Rattus norvegicus: one gene and its partner. The protein of the gene in region 1 interacts with the protein of each later gene in a pairwise test. Links are inferred from orthologs where the notes say so. Each region holds a gene or a part of one and is shown on either strand. Other genes may lie near its edges. The genes, in order: Aqp1 and Rgs17.

Evidence for each region.
Region 2: the proteins of Aqp1 (region 1) and Rgs17 interact in binary tests that used the Homo sapiens proteins (3 or more experiments, as listed by UniProt). The two-hybrid records come from large-scale screens. The link is inferred for Rattus norvegicus from reciprocal best matches to the Homo sapiens genes AQP1 and RGS17.

What each region holds. Positions count from the first base shown.
Region 1 is NC_086022.1:85,806,621-85,818,117, forward strand, and holds the start of Aqp1 (aquaporin-1), read left to right. Parts: upstream 1-6,163; 5' UTR 6,164-6,222; coding exon 6,223-6,606; intron 6,607-11,497. UniProt on the Homo sapiens protein: Forms a water channel that facilitates the transport of water across cell membranes, playing a crucial role in water homeostasis in various tissues.
Region 2 is NC_086019.1:44,724,608-44,736,104, reverse strand, and holds the start of Rgs17 (regulator of G-protein signaling 17), read left to right. Parts: upstream 1-6,159; 5' UTR 6,160-6,317; intron 6,318-6,557; exon of another isoform or gene 6,558-6,711; intron 6,712-10,479; 5' UTR 10,480-10,552; intron 10,553-11,497. UniProt on the Homo sapiens protein: Regulates G protein-coupled receptor signaling cascades, including signaling via muscarinic acetylcholine receptor CHRM2 and dopamine receptor DRD2.

The DNA of each region.
Region 1 (11,497 bases):
GCCAGCCCAGAGGTATCCAGAGAAGGGGTGTGTCCTTTGAGGGAGACACTGCCAAGGTCCAGCGTCTCTGCTTTGTGGCCTGGATCTGACACTTGGGATCATAAACAGCAGGGGACAGCTTGGGTGTCTAGCTGTCAAGCAGTGTGAGTAGTCAGAAGTGGCAATGGGGGAGCTGCTGGTTTGGAGGGGTACTTGATGGGGGAGCTGCTGGTTTGGAGGGGTACTTGATGGGGGAGCTGCTGGTTTGGAGGGGTATTTGATGGGTGAGCTGCTAGTTTGGAGGGGTACTTGATGGGGGAGCTGTTGGTTTGGAGGGGTACTTGATGGGGGAGCTGCTGGTTTGGAGGAGTACTTGATGGGAGAGCTGCTGGTTTGGAGGGGTATTTGATGGGAGAGCTGCTGGTTTGGAGGGGTACTTGATGGGGGAGCTGTTGGTTTGGAGGGGTACTTGATGGGGGAGTTGCTGGTTTGGAGGGGTATTTGATGGGGGAGCTGCTGGTTTGGAGGGGTACTTGATGGGGGAGCTGCTGGTTTGGAGGGGTACTTGATGGGCGAGCTGCTGGTTTGGAGGGGTATTTGATGGGCGAGCTGCTAGTTTGGAGGGGTACTTGATGGGGGCTGCTGTTTTGGAGGGGTAGTTGATGGGGGAGCTGCTGGTTTGGAGGGGTAGTTGATGGGGGAGCTGCTGGTTTGGAGGGGTAGTTGATGGGGGAGCTGCTGGTTTGGAGGGGTAGTTGATGGGGGAGCTGCTGGTTTGGAGGGGTATTTGATGGGAGAGCTGCTGGTTTGGAGGGGTACTTGATGGGGGAGTTGCTGGCTTGGAGGGGTATTTGATGGGGGAGCTGCTAGTTTGGAGGGGTACTTGATGGGGGAGCTGCTGGTTTGGAGGGGTAGTTGAAGGCTGACCTGTAGGTTCCAGGCCTTTCTTCTACCTAGGTATTGCAATGTCTTTCAAGAAAAGCTCTTCTTAAATCGCATGCAGCTGTCTTGAAGGGAAGGTAGCCTTCGGTCAGGAAGGGAAGAATGAGAAGTGGATTTGGTTATCAGATCAGAGGAACGCAGAGTGCCAGACTGTTGTGAATCCACCCTGATGCTCCTTTCCCAAGCTTTGAACCATGTTTCCTTTTCTTTCTGAGTCCTGGTTTCTCCAAGGACTGGAGAGCAAATGTTTCCTGGATCTCTTCTCTTGAAGTCTTACAACGTAATGAGGCAAAGACTGGAGATGTTTAAAAAAGGCCAGGGCAGCGGGGATCAGGAAGCCACTGCCGCAGGGCTAGGCCCAGTGCAGAGAAGGAACCGAGAAGGAACCGGAGAGTGAGGAAGCCCTCCCAAACCACTTACACACATGACACTTCCTCTCAAGGCCCAAGACAGCAGCAGAGGCCCTGTCTTGCTCTGCCTTCCCCAAGGGTGCGGTCTAGCTGCCTGTTTCAAAAACCACCAGCAGTGCCCTCTCCATATGGGAAGATGCTGTCCTCCTGGGCCATCAGGAATTCCCATTGCAGAATAGGGCTTGAGAAATTGCAACTATCACCGTCACGGAGGTCTTTGCTAGCCCTGAGTGGGTTGGAATAGAGGCAGGGTCTATCCTGCCTTCTCAGGTGCCCTCCTTGGACTTCAGCCTTTTTCCTGAATCTCCGTTTTTTAATCCTGGGCATGATATAAAGATCAAAGCCCTGTAGACTCCACCAGGCCAATGGCAGCTTTTTTCCATCCTGTCCCAGTGACTCTTCCGCTACAGAGAATTGCTGGTAAAACATTAAAATAGAAAACCCCACTGTCCAGAAATGGGTGTGGTATTGCCCCTCACCCAGAAGGCAAGAAGCCTGGCCTGTGGCTTGAGGCAAGTAGGGGTGAGAGTGAGGATAGGGAGGAGCAGGGCGAATAGGAAACAGAAGCCTAGAAAATTATTAAATTGTTCCATCCCTGCTGAATCACTGGGGGCCTCCTAAATCCGTTTTTGATTTAAGAGTGATCGCGTGATGCCTGAATGCCCAGGCGCTGCCTCTTAGACAAGGAGATTCCTCCCTTCAGATTCTGGGAGAGGCAGGTGTCCTTCTTTTGTGAGCAGGAATAGGGGGCAGAATTCCCACCATGCTCAGCTTTCTGCTCAGCAACCTTAGGGACCCAGCCTTTTCTAGGCTCAATGTGGGATGGTCCAGGGTGCCATCACAGTGGAGGGTCTGCAGGACCAGGGGTACGTAGGAAGAAGGAGGGATGCCCACTGAATGGCCACAGCAGGTTTGGTGAGCTAGGGTATAGGAGTTGGGAAGAGAGGGACTGTCATGTGGCTATACTGGGCCGTGAGGAGCCTGAGCACTGGCCCTAAAGAAGCTGAGCTTCCGAGACCCTTAGTAGTCCTGTGCCACCATTTGAGCTGACCTTGTCTCCTCCATTGTCAGAGGGGCTGACCTTGTCCCACAAGGAGGACAGCTCCAGATAGGCACCTCTGGCTATGAACTCCTAAGTGGACCAGCCTCCAGAGAGGCATGTCTGACAAGTCCTGGATCAAAGCCAGCAGAGGGGCAAAACCAGGTGCCCCAATGGGGAAAACTTCAGAAAAGCTGGGAGCCCCAGCGGGTAAGGCAGGAGGGGAGAGAGGTCCACTCTCCTCAGGCCTGTCAGGGAATATCCTGTCTTTCTCTCCCGCTTCACCGTTCTTGCTTCCAACCCAGGAAAGCCGGAACAAGCCTGGAAAACTCATCCAAGCTGGTGGTAAGCATATGCTGACTGGAGAGTTATGTGTGTGCCAAGTCTCCTCCTACCCCGCACTCTATTCCTGGTGGGCCTTCTGGACGGAATGAAGCCATTACTTTCTTTGCTTGGCTTATAGAGAAAACCTCTGCTGGCAGGAGATTGAGTCCACCCTTTCAGCGTCTCTGCCCTGAGTGTCACCAAAGCTTCCGGGTAGGGGAAGAGGGACCATGCGAAGAGATGTTTCTTTCCTGTACAACTTAAGATTCCTATCCTTATCCTGCATCTGAGGCTCTGGTCACCATCCTCTGAGATGGAGACTGAAGTTCTGTGGAGCTGCGAAGACATAAGACAGCCCCGGATCATCCTGTGAACAGTCAGCTCTGACCGGCCTGGGCCTCGCTGGGCAGTTCAGGAGTAAAGCACAGCTGGAAAAGCACTTGCTGGCTGCCACCAGGGCCCAAGTGACAAGTCCTGCCTGGAGCTTGGGCACTAGGATGGGGGGTGTCTGCTTTATTTAGTCTGGCTTGAGAGTCTGTTCACAGGAAAGACACAGGGGCCAGCCCTAGGGCATTGGGACACTCTAAGGAGAAGCACAGTACAGCCAGGCCTTGGACCAGGTTCCCAGGGTTGACTCCACTGTAGGGGCTCTGGCTGCACCCTCCTCTTCTGTGATTTTTTTTTTTTTACCTTAGATTGATGCTTCCCTCTCTACCTTACCTATGTGTGGACTCATCAGCACCCCTGCCTACCCTGAGGCTAGTACTCAAGGTCCTTGCCCTTCATTCTGGGATACTGAACTGGGTAGAGTAACCTAGACCTCAGGGACCTTTCCTTATGGGGGTGGTGCTTAAGCTCTCGGATTAGGATTAAGTTGTGGAGCATTCTAATCCCAGTGTTTCTTCCCTTGGCACACCATTGATGGCTACCCCAGCCAGCAAGGCACTGCTTAGTTTCAGCCTACCCCCCCCCAGCCCCCGGCCCCCACACTTCCCCAACCCTGGCCAGCCAGCCTGGATCGTGACAGGCCAGTGAAAAAGAACGAGGCATAGGGCCTTTCTGCCTGACGTACAGCCAGGAAACTTTCCACTTTACTGTGCGGATAGCCAGTTCAGAATTGCAGGGGCCCCTGGGCATTGTGGGAAGTAGTGACAGAAAAAGTTCACTTCGGTATTTCAGGCAATGCCTGCACCCCGATGGCATCTCCTTTGCTCAAAAACCGAAGCCATGTTCATAGCTTCAGTGGTTAGTGGGTCTAAACAGTTTAAGAGCTTATGCGGCAGAAGGGAAAATTCAAGTAGACAAGGGGCTGGTCTTTGTGGCCTATGGTATCCTGTGGTATCCAGAATGGTGTTTGGCATGATATTAGTGCTAATAAAATACTTGTGCTAAAGAATATACTAGTAATATCCAAGGGAATCTCACCACTCTTCTACACACACACACACACACACACACACACACACACACACACACACATACACACACACACACACACCCCACATAATTCAGCTACAAACCTGGTCTGCAGGTGTGGGGCCAGCTCTCCCTATGATTTTCCTAGAATCCTCTTGGCTGGGTCCCTGAGCCAGACAGCATCAGATATGAGCCTTACACAGCCTTGCAGACAGATCTTTGATCAGAGGCCCCTGGAATCAAACTGAGTTTCTTGAGGGGCTCTGTCACAGGGGAACCTCTCAGAATATAGGATGTGGTGGAAGTTCCAGGAAGTGCTCCATCATGGCTCCCTCTCTAGAGGGTTAATAAGTCTTCGATTGCATACAGCTGCCAAGCAGCCTCTACACCACCTTTCTGCTCAGAGCCACTCCTCCTGGCCTTCTAAGTATCTAGGTGTGCGGTGATAAATTAATTCCCAACCAGCCACCTGCTCCCATCAAACATACCACCACAGGACTTCTGTAGGTCACATCAGGTTCCAGGGCTGCCGCTGAACAGAAGCTGGCCCTTGAGAGACAGTATCCTTCTCTGTAGTGTGGACCCTGGGTAGAAGGCGCTTGGCCCTACCTTAATGGATGTCAGACTCAAAGACCATTCTCTCGGTGAGCATTGGTTTCCCACCTCTAATGGGTAAGAAGCCAATGGTTCTGATAAGGACTAAGATAGGAAGGCAGGGGACCTGATTATTACAGGTCCCGCCTTGTGTCACAGAAGGAGCCTACCTGCTGTCCCTGGTATACCTTCCAGCACTCAGACAGTAGGCAAATGACCAGTTCTCTGGTCCTTTACTCCAGGTTTTGGGGGTACACAGGGAGCGTGGTGGGTGCTTTGTCTGCACCCACCTCCCCTCCTCTCCTCCTGCTGTTGGAAAGTGACTCTGCTCCCCTGGGTCCCCCTTACCTTCCTCCTTTTTCTTTCTGTATCTCCATTCTGGTCCAGCCTGATGTCTCCTCTGCTTGGTGCTTTTCCTGTTTCTGAAGTATTGTTTTTTCCTGAGATGCTAAGGATTGAATCCAGTGCCCAGGCGAGGATCGAATGAGTGGGAGCATCCCTAAATCTTGCCCCTGTCTCCTGCCTGGTTGGGGAACCTCTTTCACTTTCCACCATCGCTTGGATAATGCTTCCTGCTGCTGTACCCAGCATCCCATCTCTGCATCCGTCTCCCATTCTCTCCTCTTCAGGTCCAGCTGTCATTCCTTCTATCTCTCTAGTAACCTTCTAGCTCCTTCTCCTATTATAGGGGGGAAAAGAAAAAAAAACTAAATATCTTCCCCAACCTCTCTCAAATCTTTGGCTCAAATTGTTTTAAGTTTGAGGATTGGGGACGGGGGGTTCTCCAACAACTTAGCTTGGCTAAGGCCTACCGTTGTCTGCAGAATGATAGCTGGCTCCCAGAAAGCTTCTCTACCCGTATCAACTGAGGCCTGGGTGGTGAGGGCACATCCACAAAGTGACATGAAGCTGCTTGGCCCAGGCCAGGACATTGGAAGTCACACTGGCCCACAGATTTCTGGGCCTGAGAACTTCAGATTACTAACTCTGCTCAGAGTGGGATGGGACAGGCAGGCAATTTCTGGTGCCACCTCCAGGGAGGGCAATGTTCGTCTAGGGAGTCCAGACAACCTCTATTCTCCACCCCTTCTAGAGTGCCAGGCTCTGCCCTCAGGCACCCTTGAGCTTTGCAGGCTGGGCGGGGACACCTGGATTTCTCTGGCCCCCTGAGAAGGGCTGGCTTGGAAGAATTTCTCAAAGCCTATTAGAGCAACGGTTGCCTCCTGCCTCCTCAGGCTGGGCAGGGCTGAGGGCTGAGGCGGGTGGAGGGAACAAGGGAGGGCAGGAGGGGGAGAGGAGGAAGGAAAAAGTTGGCAGGCAGACAGCAGAGCCCTGTCTGCATCCATCGCAGAGAGGAGGCTCGTGTGGTGTGGGGCGGGCCAGGAGCAAGGAGAGGCCTTCCTCCCTTTGTGCTCCCCCCACCCAGCCCTATAAATAGGCCCAGCCCAGGCTGTGGCTCAGCTCTTGGAGGGAGTTGAGCACCAGGCATCCAGCGGTTAAGTCAAGGCCCCTGCCAACATGGCCAGCGAAATCAAGAAGAAGCTCTTCTGGAGGGCTGTGGTGGCTGAGTTCCTGGCCATGACCCTCTTCGTCTTCATCAGCATCGGTTCTGCCCTAGGCTTCAATTACCCACTGGAGAGAAACCAGACGCTGGTCCAGGACAATGTGAAGGTGTCACTGGCCTTTGGTCTGAGCATCGCTACTCTGGCCCAAAGTGTGGGTCACATCAGTGGTGCTCACCTCAACCCAGCGGTCACACTGGGGCTTCTGCTCAGCTGTCAGATCAGCATCCTCCGGGCTGTCATGTATATCATCGCCCAGTGTGTGGGAGCCATCGTTGCCTCCGCCATCCTCTCCGGCATCACCTCCTCCCTGCTCGAGAACTCACTTGGCCGAAATGACGTGAGTGGGGTATCTCAGGCAGGGGTCTGTAGGAGAAGGCAGAGAGGGGACTGGTTCCATTTGCCTACCCATATAATGGGAGTACTGAACAACAGAGAGAAAGATGAAGGTTTCTGGGGTCACGCTGAGATATGGGGCCAGAACTCAGCTGGGCTACAGGGTCTGTTTGCTGGTAGAGCTGAGAGCGTGGAGGAGCTGGACAATAATGGTTGCCAAAGTCCCCTGCGAGTATCTACTGCCAGCAATGAGCTGAGGGGGCAGCTAGTTGTGTGCCAGCAGTGCCCCCCTCCAGGGGAGTTTCTTGGCCCTTGTCTGTCCTACCTGAACATCCACTTTTCTCCCTTGCAGCCCTGTCCACTAGGCAACCTCTACCTACTGTCCTAAGTATACTTTCTCCTGATACCTACCATGTTTAAAGCCACTTCTGCAGGTGTCTGAGTGTGACTCTCTTGATAAGTTGCCTGGGCTTCTAAGTGGCTTCTAATCCTTACCCAGGTTCCCAAACCAACTTCCTCAGAAAGTCAGGAGATGACTCCCTTTCTTTCCTCTGTCTCCAGTAATTAGACAAAGTGGAGGAAACAAAACTCTCTCTGGAGTTTTGGGAGAGTTTTCTAGATACCCGTTCAGAAAAAGGGCTCGGCTCAGTAGTCCTTGGCCACTGAACCATGAGGCACGCTTGCTTGTTGTGTACAGAGGTGGAAACGGAGGTGCAAGCTTGTCTGCCCAGGTCCTGAACTTGTGTAAGCTGCTTTCGAGTAGATGCTGCATTGGGGAGAATGTAAGCACTTGTACCCACTGTTTCTGGCTTTAATGATAAGCAGACGCTGGCAACAGTATGTGGCAACTGTTCAACATAACTGTCCCTGAGCCATTCCACACAGCTAAGTGGCCTGTGTGGTGGCTGCCTGGTCACAAACCTTTTCCAATTTCTTAGCTAAGTGTCCAGGATGACCGAGTGCACTTGGGTTTAATGGGGACCAGTTTAGCAGGAGTGTCTGAGTAAAGGCATGGGGTATCTCAGAATGGAATAGCCCAGAGTCCCTCGCCAGAAGCAAAGACTCAGAGAAAGGAAGCTGCTGGCTGGACCCCAGTAGGGCAGATGCAGGGGGATAGGAGTAAGGATGTGGGCCAGGGCTCCAGTGAGTTGGATGGCTATGCGTGAGTAGACGCCTTTCGTTTCCCGACTGAAGTTCAGGTCGTGGAGATGCAGGCAGGGAGGAGGTGAAAGTCTGATGCAGAGGGCGGCTGTCCTGGCTGTTCTGCAGGGATGAGCACTTCTGTGCCACAGTGACACCTCAGGATCACACTCAAGTCAACCTCTGCTCAGCTGGAGATTGAAGATTAGCCCTGTGGCTGGAGTTTAGACCTTAGCTGGAGAAAAGTTGGCTGCCGTAGGTAGCATAAGGAGCAGGGTTAGTCAGGCCATGTCCCTCTAGACTTCAGTCTCTCCAATAGGAGCAGGGCTAGATGCCTCAGTGAATTCCAGCGAGGAGGTTCAAGTTCCCGCTGAGGTGGGGGCTGGGGAGGATGCAAGCAATACATGCTCCCTCCTAGCTCTTATCTCTTCCAAGTCAAGTGACAGGCAAGACCCGTGCCCTTGCTGGCAAAGGCTTTGCATTTTCTAATATTGTCATCCAAGGCAGAGGCAGAACATGATTGCTTCGGCAGCACCTGCGTCTGGCTATACCCCATTTCAGTTTTTGTTCTCCTACCCCCCACCAATTTTCCAGAGGTGACAGAGTATCTGTGTCAGGCAGAATATATACAGCTGAGGGAGAAAAGGCTTCAGGCTAGTATGAAGACAGCTTGGGGAAGGAGGCAGGCACCCTAAGCCCTGTTTGCTGTTGACCACCAAGTCTTCCTGGAGCTGAGCATCCGAGGTTCAAAAGGACCTCAGGTTCTGGTGACATTCCTGCTACTCCCACACTACTAGCTTATATTGTTGGCTGGAACTAATTACTGACCCCCCAAAGGACTTGGCTAAGAGAGCCCCAGCAGCAGTATTATATAGAGGGACCAAACATTGTGGTGAGGTTTCTACCCCATCCAAACAAACAATGGACCTTTGGCATGTAGGACAGTCTGTCCGCCAGCCAAATGGCTCTCTCTGGGCACTGGCTCCTGGTTATGGCGGGGCTGGGAATGGTCTCAATGCCTTAGAGGAACAACAGTCAATGGAACAGGTGGCAGCCTCTTCCCTATACATCCCTGGGGAAGGCTCTCACAGCTCCTCTGCTCTTACCCTCATCCTGCCGCCAAAACCTGGGTGGGGTGAGTTGTTGGCATGGAGATTTCCAAAGAAAACAGAGGGGGAAGTGGCAGGAAGTGGTTGGGTGAGTCAGGGGGTGTCCCCTAGGGACATGGTGGGGACAACTTTCTCCTGACTAAGTCAGGGCTCAGAAAACGCCCTATAGCGACCACAGGCATCCTATAAGGTCCTTTGTGGGGTAAAGAAGTAGAGCCTAATTTGCACTCTTGGCTATAGGCTCTGAGGCTCCCTGCCCCAGGTCAGTCACCTGCACCCTATGTAACTCCATGCAATAGGCTGGGCTAAGATGGCCCTAATTCCCACCTATGAACCCATGAACAGGACTCAGAAGGGTGTGGCCGGCTTTGGAGAGTAGAGGATGCTGGAGCTTTAGAGTCCTGGCATCCCGGCTGTTTTCATTCTTCCTCTTTCTGGCCCTCATCCTGCAGAAATGACTGGGGCTGTTGGGTGCTGAGAGCAAGGCTGGGTCAGCCAGGCTCCCCACTCTGGGCAGCTCATGGGCCTGAGGCCAGATAGACCACACAGCTGCCTGTGATACCAGGCAGGAGGCAGGTGAGATAAGAGGTGTCAGGGCGGGCCAGGGAACTTTTGAACCGAAAGGGTGGGAGGGCCAGGAGAGCTCCAGGGAGATCATCCTATAAGAACCCAAATGTGGACTGAGAAGGGGCTTCTGGGTACAGCTGAGGCAAAGGGGCAAGGAAGGCGGTGGAGTAGAAGTGGTCATCAGATTTAACAGAGTGGTGTCACAGTAGGAGGCTGGATTTTGAAGTCGGTAGGAGCTCTGGACCTTGTCTGGTCTCTGTTTCTGGAGGAGACTATTTTCCCAGAGCCTCCCAGCCTAGCCACCAGGGGTCTCAGGCAGAGGGCACGCCTATTCTCTTCAGGGTCATCTCTTAGTTCTATTGATTCAGGACCCAAATACTTGGAAATGTCTCCACCTGCTATTCCAGATTGTGTATATATATATATATATATATATATATATATATATATATATATATATATATATATCGGTCCCTAATGCATATTCCTCTGTCAGTTTCTTGGGTGTTAGCGTCCCCAGACAGTAGGAGAGAGGGTCCTTTCTTACCTGTAGGCCAACCAGGGTCAAATCTCTTGCTACCTTGACTAGGGCTTAGCAGTGGGCTATGGAAAAGAAGCGTAAATTTCCAATGCCCTGACCAAGTTCAGCATGGCCAGGGACAGAGCTGGGGGCTGGGTGTAACAGCATAGCTGGGACCTGTAATTATTGTTTCCAGGCAGAAGCTAGGAGGGAAAGGACAGGGGGAGAGTGCAGAGAGGTGGAGCTTTGTGGCAGGGCAAACATTCCTTCTCACAAATATTCTGAGGCCGGGTCCTCCACAGCATCTGCTGGATCTGTACAGCTAGTGTGGTCAACCTGTCCCAAACCAGGGTCCACTTGGGACAAGTATTTAAAAGACAACACTCCAAGAGGACTCGTGCAGGTAGCATCTGAGGAAAGCTGCTCCCACCCCATCCCACCGGAGCCTCAGCTCCTCTGCCCTGGTGCTACTCTTTCTAGCCCGAGCAGCTTTCCGCAGCAAAGTAGGTCCCTACGCAGTCCTACTCTCTAGGACACACTCAGTGTGTTCCTGGTCTCTCTGGGCAGGTCACAGTTTCTCCCTACCCACCCCCACAGCCACTGGAAGCCATGTATTCTTGTTGGTAGCAGTTCTCTGCCCTGGGAACCTTCCCGTCCCTACTCTTCAGAAGAACCTGCGAGTCTCAGAGCTCCTGGACGGCTGAAACCTGAGCCTCCTACCTGTAGATAAGGGCAGGAAAATGTCTTTGAGGCTCCACAGTGTTCAGGGATTCCTCTGTCTGGGACTTTTCCTGGAGACTAGCGGGGCTCCTCAACCACAGTATTGGGATGAGTGGGAACAGCCCCAGCGGAACGAGCAGGGGTTGGGGCTATGCTCACCCAAACAGCTAATGTTCCTGAGCTTCCTTGAGACTGAGATTGAATCCCATAGACCAAAGACAGCGGTGGGCACAATCAGCCCCTTCAGGGGCTTGAAATTCCAGTAGAGACTCCAGAGGGGAGTTTCTGTTCTGTATAAAGATTTTGTTTTTAACTCAGGAAGCAGCTGAGCGCTCTAACTTTAGAAACGTGCAGGTTGGACCCCCCGCCCCCTGACAGGGAAGCTGCTCTGGGGGAGCCTGGCTGGGTAGAGGTCCAGTGTAGGTGGGTAAGAGACTTTGTGCTACAGGCTTTATGCCAAACTGAGAATGGGAGGTGGAGACTTGAACTGAGGTATCTGAATGCTGGCTAGAGGGTGCCTACCTGATTTTGGGCAAGGAGGAATCAGAAGACTGCTTGGGGCTAGAGTTTAGGTCAGTGCCTGCATTTTGCTCTCGGGAAAATGAGACCCAATCAAGCTATAGATTCTTGTCAAGATTGTACAGTGGGCAATGTCAGTACAGGACTATGCTCCAAACCTTCTGTAAACATGTACACGCACATGCACATACGTGACATAGGGCAAAGAATGTGCTCTGAGCACTGCTTAGATCTGGGGATGCAGGGGGTGGGCGGGCGGGAGGTCCTCACAGGAGCCTCTTCCTCTCTTTGCTCTGCAGTAAGGAAAAGGAAGAAAGGAA
Region 2 (11,497 bases), on another chromosome or scaffold:
ACAGAAAGTGACATGAAATTTTGGAATATTCCAAAGTTATCATCAAGGAAAGAGGGGAGAGGGTAGTTTGACACAGAATGTTCTAAAACTATAATTGGAGAAGAGTAAATGGTGGCAATTTAGATTTGTGAAATAGACATACTTGTAAGGTCATGTGATCCTACCCCATGGTTATATGGTCCTATGTAAGCGAGGAAGGGAAGGTTCATGTTCAGAGAATGTCAAAAGAGCAGCTCTCCGTATCAAGTGCTTGAGCTCAGGTTTGCACATCTATGAACTGAGAAATTCCTTTCAAAGTGTTGCCTTTGTTTAAACTTTAAAGAAAGATAACAAAGCAGGACCTATTCCCAGGGTTGATTTGAGAAGCAAGACAGATAAATGCAGAGCCATCTTGTCTGATCTGTGAACTTTAATGACTCAGGCTCCTGGAGTTCAAAGGGAGAAGCTGGAGAGATGGCTGGGTCAATAAAGTGATTATCGTGTGTGTGTGTGTGTGTGTGTGTGTGTGTGTGTGTGTGTGTGTGTGCGCGCGTGCGCACCCGCGCTCGTGTTTGTGTGCATGAGAGAGAGAGAGAGACAGAGAGACAGAGACAGAGACAGAGAGACAGAGACAGAGAGCCTGAATTGATCCCCAGGACTCGGGACTCAAGCAAAAGCTAAATGTAATGTCAGAGACTTGTAGGAGATGGATAAATCCCAAGGGTTCATTAGCTAGCTAGACTAGCCTACACAGTGAGTTATACAGCTCCAGGCCAGTGAGAGATCCTCACCTCAAAACAAACAAACAACTCCCTCCCAAAAAACCTCCAAAACAAAAACCAATAACAATAAAAACAGACAAAAAGGTAGCTCCTGAGGAATGGCACCTGAGGTTGTTCTCTGTCCCTCTGTCCTCCACACACATGCCCATATATGTCCACCCTTCACACATGCACCACACACACACACACACACACACACACACACACACACACACACACACACACAATTAAGGAGGAAGGAACATTGCTGATTGGGAATAGGGACCAACCTCCACTCCAACCTCAGGCTGTAAAACATACTACAACCTTCATATAGCTGTAAATAGTGTTTGCCTTCTCAGAGTATAATATACATTAGTTGCATTTAGCACAGTTCACTAAGGATAAACATCTCTCCATACTCTAGAAGATTATCTGGAACCCTTAGCTTTAGTCCTGAACAGATAGCTGACCTGTACCATTCAGCCAATGTTAATGGTGCATCAATGCAGATAGGAATGAATGGGACCTCAAATGAGTGGATTTTGATGCTCAGTATTAAACACATGGGAACAATCATAAAGCTTGAAGGGATAGTGGCAGAGGAGAGACACAGATTTGGGTCAGGATGGCAAGATATCATCATCATAAAAGTCCCACCACAGGCAACAGATAGAACTTTTGATGAGCTGGTAATGTCTGTCTTAACAAATTTATCAGCATATAAAGCAAATGGTAGCAGACAGGTAGACAGTTGGCATTGAAGATTGTGGAACAAGATGGCAAGTACGAACAAACCACACACAGCCGGACCTCACTGCATTGGAAGACTTTTGGGGATACAGAGTGGTATTCCTGCCCTAGACTATACAAGCAGAAATCCAGAGGCACAAAACCCAAGATATACAGAGGGGATCTAGAGCCAAGATGAACGGCAAGTGCAGCCCAACTTGCTAGGCTGACTCATGTCAAGGTGACAAGACAGTCACAGTCCCCCCTATCTATACTCATTTACGCTACCTAACAACTCTTCCAGCTCTTTATACCAAGGGACCCGGAGGGAGTTGGTAAATGCTGTTTGTGGTAATTTACTGCCCTCGGCTATAAGATTCAGTAAGCACTGGCCCAGAATGGAAGACTCGTCATTATCAAAGGAAAGCCCGATGCAATCTTCTTGGTCCCTTGAATTCTTTCTTCTCACAATCTGACCGACTACCTGTAATTGCACACAGTATCTGATTCCCATTGATTTTATTTTGCCAAAGCCCATATGCAATACCTACCTTACCTGGCTTCAGGATTATTAGTCTGTGACTTTCATTTCCCACAATGCCATGCAGATGCTGCCTAAGATTGCTCAAGTGAGTGGGAGAGAGGAGGAGTGAGTGGATGAAACTTGAATAGGCAATCACTGTGTGTCTGGTGAATTCTACACTATTCACACATAAAGATTTAGGCGAGACTGTACTTTCATGTAGCACTCCAACATATTTCACACTGTGAGACGAGTCCACTGGAAAATCAGGAAACCAGGAAGTCTTTAACAAGACTTGTCTTGTAGCGACGTGAGTCTACTCCTTGTTTGCATCTTCAGTGTATTTCAAAAGACAGTCACACAGACCCTTCTCCATGTTGAATATCAGCATGCTAATTTTCTCACATACATACACTCGAAGACCTGCTCTACAAATGTGCTCTACCATAAACCAAAACCTAATAGATACAAAAACCCCTTTGAGAAAATCAGAATGTAAGCTTTCCCCTATCTTGACTTCCTTCCGGCCCTGGAGGGAAATCTGATAAGGGTGAAGGTCATTCCACAAACCAGCAACTCATGTAGGAACTTTTGCAAGTCTCCAGTTAACACACCCACCCGTCACCATCAGGCTCTGTGATTTGCTAGTCTTTCAAGAATCTGATGGTGCTAACTGAAAGTTGCCAAACTTTCTAAACGAGGTAAACACACAGAAAAAGATGCTTAGTCACTGTAGGGGAGCAAAGGTTTGGCTCAAGGGACAGTGTAGTGAACCAAACAGAACCAAGCAGAATGTAAAGGTGTAGATTCTATCAACTGAGTATTTTTCTGAAGCTACTCCAGAGGTCTCTGCTGGAAACAAGAGGTCTTAAGAGCAATGTATGTGGTCATAGGCCACACGCTGGTTTTACGCATATCTGCACTAAGTCAGCTAAAACATGGCTAATGTCAGACATCCAGGGAGTTATAGCACAAAATGGCTGACAGTAAATATCCAAGTAACCCCAAGTAACTGTAATCTGCTCTTTAACTATTTTTGGCGGACTACCACTTTTATGTGCATTCTACATAATTTCGATCTTGGGGTCAGAGTTCCAGAGCCTGAGCCCAAGCCCTGGCCAGCCTACCAGCACGCGTGTCATTCTGTAATTCTGTGTGTCTTCGTGGCTACCTCCATGAGACCTGTGTGCTGGTCTGAGAGTTTCATCCTGAGAGTCCTTTAGTCTCCAAATGTATCTTTGTCTTAGCAAATATCTACAACTGTCTTGACAACATGTGCCATGTAGAACCGTCTTTGACAGGCTGGGCAGAGGTAACGGTGTACTCTACTTATATATGTCAAGAAACAACAGACTGTGGTGAGAATCCAAGAAGAAACATTAGTAAATGCAAAAACCATTTTTCTGTATTTGTGATCTATTCAATCATCCATTTAGTCATCCATAGATATTCACCAAGTGGATGTTATGTGCCAAATCTTCTTCTGGACCCCATAGATGAGACAGTGAAAGTGAAGTTTTAGAAGACTTCGTTCTAGTATAGGGTTGGAAGGAAGATACTAAACAACTTATTTCAATACTGGAAAAAATATTGCCTTAATAAAATAGAACAAGACAAGGGGATCCTTCTTCTTCTAAATAAGCAAGAACTGCTTGCCTCATTGGCACAGTTTATAAGATGGTTGTATTAGGCCTTCAGTAGGAGCAGATTGCCGATGCCTCCATAATGTTAAATAACCTGATATGTAAGGAACCACGTGCATGGGATTCCTAGGAAGGAAGAACAAGAGGCATCCCACACTGACAGCTCTGCACAGCTAGAACACTCAGAGCTCTATGGTCTACTCGAGCAAGATAACGGCAAATACATCTTGGAGGATAGTGAACAGATCCTCCCAAGCTAGGGGATGGATCATGGGCTGTATTTAAAATGCAAGGAAAACTACAGGATGGTTTTAAGCTGCTATTTGGAGTGTCTGGGGGAGAGAAACAAGGAATCCAAACAGGAGGCTTTGAGTTGTCCAGGTGAGAGATGACCGTGGGTGGGACGGAGGCTACATCAGCGGAGATTGGACATATATATTTAAGGTAGAGGAAATATGACTTGCTAATTAACTGGATGAGGATGAAAAGCAAGAAGGCGAAGCAAGGATGACTTCCACAGTTTTGGATTGGATAACTGGGTTGAACAGTCCAAAGAGGAACAGGTTTGGAGGGGGTGGATTTCCTCCGCTCAGCTTCTGAGATGCCTGGTAAATGTGGTAATAATAGTAGCTACCTTGTGGGGTTGTCATGAAGAGAAAATAGGAAACACATGAAAAGAATTTAGGCCAGTGTCAAGTAGGAAGTAACTGCTCAATAAAAATGAAGAAGGATAGCTGTTGAAGTAAAGGCGGCCGTTCAAGAATTATTGATGGCTGTAATTCTTCACCTAACATGGGTCGGCAAAAGTCCATTACAGATGAAGAATAAAGATACAGGTATTCGAGGGTGATAGTTGCACAAACCAATAATACAGAACATCTGTCTCTTCCAATCCCTATGTTGAAACCTAAACTCCTAAAGTAACTGCAGTGAGAGGTGTTGGCTTCGGAATTGGTTAGACCAAGTGGATGAAGCCTCGTGTGTGGATGTAGTGATCTTTTACGTTCACACCAGAGGCTGTCTTGTGAACTTCCAGCATGTGAGGAGAAAGCAGATCCATTTGTCAGGACTCCAGCCCTCTTAAAACACGGAATCTGACTGAATCTGACCTCAGACCTTCCACTCTCCAGCAGTATGACAAGTTAGTTTCTGTTGTCTGTAAGTCACCCCTTAGGTGGTATTTTGTTAGAGCGGCCATAATGGACTAAGATAAACTTTTATACTCTCCAACAACAACAAAAATGAATTACTCTTAAAATGAAGCTGCCAGGGACAACCGAGCCAAGCACTCAGGTGCCATGGCAATGGTAAATCCCTAGATATTTTTCCAAATTTTATTCTCCATTTCTGTATTTATTTCTAATTACAGACCAGTAGTTTGTAGACATGCTCCAAGAAGTGCCCTTTCAGGGTATTAGTATGCAAAGCAGAAGATGCAGCTGAATAAAAAAGACCCCTCGTTATAGTAATTGAAGGGGGCGGGGCTCAGGTGCTCAGTGGGCTGGAATATCAACAGTATTTGCATACAGGAGGACCCCCTGGCAGGGGAGTGTCATACACGGCTACAAGCAATCAGTTCTAATTAGCTGGAAGGGAAAGGGCCTAATCATTCCTGCGGGAACTCTCTCCTCTTCCCCACAGATGTGAAATCTAAAGAGCAAGATATCCGCTTTCCTCACTCCCCCCTCAGAAACACTTCAGCCTAATCACAGGAGGTATAATCTAGTGCTTGGAATGCATTAAGCATCCAAGGCTCCTTCACCACCAAGCTGCGCTCTGCTGGCAGGCAGAAAGATTGGCAATTCCTGTGACTGCCAAGTGGTCCTCTAAGGATGCTTTATGTCCCAGGTTTCCAAACCAGGCTAAGAGTTCTTGACTCCCGCCCTGCTTTAGGTTTATCTCACTGAAAACCTCAGCTCCAGTGCCCCAGAGGGTACACATACCTAAGCCCAGAGAGCGCCTGAAGGAATTCGTGGGTATTTCTGAGTACGCCAACGATACAGTCAAGAGACTCCAACTTTCTTAACTTTGCATTCTCTTGAATCCCTCAGGCAAAAGGGTTGAGGATAGCCCGAGGCTAAGGGAACCTGAGTGCCTGAAAGACTTACAAACACTGTCCCAGGGACTAGGTGAACACTGCCCGGGCTGTGGGTAAAAGTGAACGGGGGGGGGGGGGGGGGTTGGGGAGAGGTTCCTTCCCACAAAGTGTGTCCTCTCCAAGAAGACACACACACACACACACACACACACACACACACACACACACACACCCCGACCCCCACCGCAGAGCCTCCTCACTGATGTCGCCAGAGCCGCCTGGGCACAGAGACATCGACACCTTGAGCTCTGTCGCCGGGCGGGCACGCCAGGAAGGGTTGCGACGGTGACTCACGCATCCAAGCGCCCGCGGGAGGGGAGGACGCCTCACCTCCGGCTGCGCCGGGCGAGGGGCTGCGCCTGTCTCCTGGACGCATGCGCTGCGAGTTGCTCCGCTCCCTCCCCGCCCACCCCAGCCTCCTCCCTCTCGGCTCTATCCTGGCCTCTCTCCCTCTCTCCGTCGCCGGGTGCTGAAGTTGGGCGGATGGCAAGGAGCCCGCTCCGCTAGAGGACGGAACAGCCCAGCCTTGAGCACACTCGGACTCGGACCCGGGGACGGTCGCCCACATCCCAGGCCACCTGGTAAGACGCGACCTCTGAATCCCGGAGAGGATAAGAAATAACATAAAAATGTCTGCTTTGCACTGATGGGTGGGCTTGATTTTTTTTCTCTCCTTTTGCTCCCCCACCCCCACCCCACAGGGAAGTAGGTGGCGAGGGGGAGGTAGGAAAGAGGGGGCGGAGGGGACGCCCGCCGCCTGTGCTGTGGCTGGTGAAGCAGTGAGGTGCAAGGGTCTCGGCGGGCAGCACCTCCTCGCGGCTTCGTGAAGTTGAATCCCGCGTGGTCCGCTTCAGGGCTCGGTCCACTCGCGTCCCCAGGCTCTGTAGAGGGGCTGGACCGCTCTCCTGCCGGGTCACGGCTTTGGGTGTCCCTGCTCCCGGGAGGAGAAATCTCAGCACCTTCAGGGACCTGGAGGTGAGAATGCGCTGCGGTGGCGGGTGGGGGAGCGCGCAGGGGTTCGGGGTCCCCCGGCTTTTTGTAGCTGTTTGGCTAGTAGAGAATCGATGGTGAAATAAATCGAGATGGTCTCAGGCGCGAACCACCTCGGATGGTCTCATTTCTCCCTTTATCTTTCGGTGCCTTTAGGGAAAATAAGCGATTCAGGTGCAGGTGATGGCTTTACACATACCTTGAGCAGCTGTTGTGTGTGCGTGTGTGTGTGTGCGTGTGTGTGTGTGCGTGCGTGCGTGTGTGTGTGTGTATGTGTGTGTGTGTGTGTGTGTGTGTGTGTGTGTGTGTGCGGTGTGTGTGCAGAGGGTGAGAGTCTCTTTTGTTCCTCCCCCTTCCCCTTTAGTCCAGAGAAAGCGAGTTCTGGTGTGCACTGCACCGGGTCGGTTTTACAGCAACCAAGGGGGTGAGGATTGGGAACGCCTACCAGCCCCCAGGCGCTGCCCCGCTTGGGTGCATCACAGACTCCTTTGCTGTGGGAGCTGGTTCTCCTGATTATGGATGGATCACAGCTTCTAGCTGTCTCCTCGCTAGCCTGCCTTCTTCTCTCTTTCCTCTGGCTGCCGCAGAGGCTGGGTGCAGACACTTCCCTGTTGTTTCCTCTTCTTCCTACCTCTGTGTCTTGGTGGAAAATGTCGGAGGACCTGAGAATGGCGGAAGGACAGAGCAGCGGGTGGGGACCTGCTCCTGGCCAGCGGGAGGCTGCTTGCTGTGTGTCTCTGGCAATCCGCGCCACTCACTCAGAAGAGACTGAGCAGGGGTCACCTGGTCTAAAAGACACCAATGCAAGACCACCCTGTGTCCTCCTCCTCCACTGAGAACTGAGAATGGTCGCTCACTTGGGAGATCCTGGTCACCCAGGAACCCTGTTCCTGGCTCTGGGCATAGTGTTTCCAATACTCCGTACAGACCCTTCAGTAAATTCATCCTTCTAAATCTGGTCTGAAGAACTTTGCAAGCTTTTAGCTGTCTCTTCGGGGGAGGAGGGTGTTAGAGCTGGATTCTATCCATCATGGGTTGGCTATCACAGATAAAGAGAACCCTTAGTTGATAAACACTTCTAAGACTGGATTCCATCTGCATTTCCGGCGCTCAGTCACACTGGTTTTCAGGGTGTTAAACCTTTCTGAAAACCATTTAATTGACAAAATGAGAAATACATTTTACTCCTACAGGGAAGACGGTGTTTTCCTCATCGGTTCGGAGCTGCTAGATGCAAACAGCAAAGCTCTTAAGTTCCTTGTATCCATTTCTGAAGTCTGTCATAGTAATAGCAGTTATGTATGGAGCATGCTTTATAACACTGATAACTAATCCAAGGGTAATTCAAGTCCTAATTCATCAAGTCACGTGACTGGGAGGTGTTAACATGAACTCAAAGAGTAATTAGCCCACTCACGACAACATACATTTATTTACTAGTTTAGAATTTTAAGGTCTGTATTTAGGGCCCATGGATCAGGTTCATTGATGGTTTTTGGAGCTAAGAAAACAAGTGTTTATTATTACAGGAAAGGATCAGATGTTCTATTTTGTTAAGTGAGATGCCTCTCCTTGGTGATAACAACTGAACCCAGATCACCAGTAGCCATCTTTCTCTTTAAAACTGTCTCTAAAAGATAAAGAAATCCAGTCACTTTAAAACTGACAGTGTGGGGTTGGGGATTTAGCTCAGTGGTAGAGTGCTTGCCTAGCAAGCACAAGGCCCTGGGTTCGGTCCCCAGCTCCGGAAAAAAAAAAAGAAAAAAAAAAGAAAAAGAAAAAAAAAGAAGGAAAAAAAAAAAAAACCTGACAGTGTAAGGTGTTCGTTTTGCCCATTTCCAGATTTTTTTTTTTTTTTTTTTTTTTTTTTTTTTTTTTTGCGATGCCTCAACTTCTTCTTGGGCTAGTACCTACTTTGGGGTCTGTGCTCATTTCCACAGCAAATAAATGACCTTCCCTTCCCAGTTTTGGAGGGCCATCCTATCAGGATTTAGTTCGTTTAAGCTCATGATGTTAATGGTCTAAGTCCATTTCCATCCCCACGGACTTCTTCTACTCTTTCATAATAAATAAATCTCGTTAGAGTTTCCTACCCCAGAGCTAGACACTTTGAAAACAAAAAGGTCTGTTCTTACTTATTTAGCCTTATTATACAGCTAAATAAAAGTGAATGACCCCCCACCCTAATTGGTGAGCATTCCACTGACACACCCAGTGAAAAGAGTCAGGAAGAACTTAGGTGTGAATGTTCTACTGTGAAGGGATTGGCTCCCACATTAGAAGTTCATTTTCTGAACTGCATGAACTTCCCTAGAAAAGCAGTCACCAACAGAGAAGGGTGGAGCTAAGTGGGATGGGAAATCCATTTCTACAGGAGATTTGGATACCCTAGTTCTGTCTACAGAACAAGGAAGATATGTCACTCTTCTGAAGAATGAGAGGACCAATGCATTTGACCACTGATTACTACAGAGCGTACTGTGGGGTTTATGGAGAGCCTAAAACAAATACATCATTTCCTCTAACAGGACATTTCCTATGAAATTGATGGATACACTGTCCATATTTCCTGCATCCCCTGGCCTCTAATGTATCCTTTAGACACTTGAGTAACTTTTCAAAAGCCCACTTAGATTATTATACTTACCACAGTGCCAGCACCTGACACAGTAACTAAGAAAGAGAATTTCTAAACTAATTAACTTTGCAAAACTAACATGGCTCAGAAAAGTCTCCTGACCTGCTCAGCTGAAACCGTGGGCTCCAAGTCCTGTTTCCAAACCAAGGTAGAGGGTTAGGAAGGTACGACTTACATGGCTTACATGACAAGACATCTTTTGAAAGCAAGGGCACCTGAATTCAGATCCCTAGCACCCACATATGAACAAGGCATGTTCTGAATGCCTGTAACTCAAAACTAGGTTTCAAGGTGACAAACAGGAAGATCCCAGGAACTGTCTGCCAGTCAACCTGGCAGAAACTGATGACATCAGGTTTAGTGAGAGACCCTCTCTCAAAAGTTAAGGTACAGACAGAAAATGCTCTTCTGCAGGTGAGTGCATATATACACGTACACTTTTGCTCTCATGCACACACACACACATACATATACATACATATATACATACAATGCTCTTTACCAAGTACACTCATTGAAATTATGCCCATGATCCTGCCTCTTGGAGGAAGCAAGTTTTAGAATTGTGAATGCATTCTCCTAATATAGCACTTAGAGTACTGGCTTGCTTCTGGGTGATGAGTTTATATTTATTTTACACATCCCAGAACACAGGAACTTACATGAAATGAGGACACACGTAGAATATAATAATCACAAATATTTTTGTCAAGACAGATTTGGCTGATGTACTGATTCAGTCATTTAATGACTTTGTTATTCATCTGCCCCGCCTCAGTCCCCCAGTGAGGAGATCCTGGGATAGCTTTAAGCACAGATAGAATACACTGTACAGAAGATATACTTTGCCACCAATTCATCATATGCATAGGTATTGTCATTTATAATTAATGTGTATTGAACAGTGCCGCTCTTGCTCTTTACAAAGCTCCCATTACTTTGTTACCATTTCTACATTTTAGTGTGATATAGTGACTACAAGCAACTCATCCTGTATATGACTTAATTTATTAGCCATTCTTCTATTTGTAAACTTTTTGTTCTTTCTAGCATTTTCCTATTTGAACAAGTGTGTGCCTTTATTCTCTTATTTTATGTATACCTTTTTTCTTTAGGTTTATTATATATACTGCCTAATTCCCATCAAGATATGTGATTCTTCCCAACAAATTATTGCTAAGATGGCAGGTGCACTTAATATTTTTCAAAACTTACACATTTTACTAAGGACAGTGATCAATCTGTGGCATGCTTGTAACCATCTTTTCCAACTGTGACGTGTTTGTATCATTTACCCTAGGTGTGTAATACTATTCAAATGCATGCTTGTCCCCTGAGTGATAATATTGCTCTTTTTTTAAAAGGAAACCCAAACGAGGAAAGGAAAAGCTCAGTGGCAAAGACTCTGAGTGACAAAGATTAGAGAAATTATCATGGTTAAAGCTGAAGGACCCTATCCTGGTCATCCGTCTGGGGAGCTCAGAGCTCACATCCGGTGTGGCTTTGCTTTCAGCCTGCGCAGTTCCCTATAGAAGCCCCAGTTGCTAACTGGTTTTCAAGCATACACTTCACTCTGAATGGTTCGAGAAAAGGAGTTCTCTGCCTTTAGCAGATTGTTCTACCAATTGCTGATGTCATAGAAAGAACTTTCCAGTTTTAATGGAATTAAAAAGAAAATAGGCACAATTGTGAACCTATGAGGGGATTGAGTCAAATTTTCATCAAAATAAAATCAAGTCAGCTTAGTGTCATATCCTTTTCTTAAATTTCGGCTGCATATAAAATTTAAATATTTTAAGAGGCAAATATCTGATCTATTACCTTAATGATTTTTTTATGCATCCAGAGAGTGTCTATTAGGTATTTTGTTTGTTTTGTTTTTGTTAACACAAGCTAACACCTTGATGAAAATCAACCTAAATAAGAGTGTCCATTTGGCTTGTAGTTACAGAGGCATAGACGTGCAGAATGTCAGGGAGGAGCAAACCACTGAAACATTGTCACAACTGCATGCTGGAATGAGTGAGCTACTGAGTTACAAAATCCCAAGGCTCCCTCAGTGAAATACTTCCTCCCTTAAGGCTCCACCTCCTAGAGGTCTGACAAACTCCAGCAGTGCAGTCAGCTAGAGAC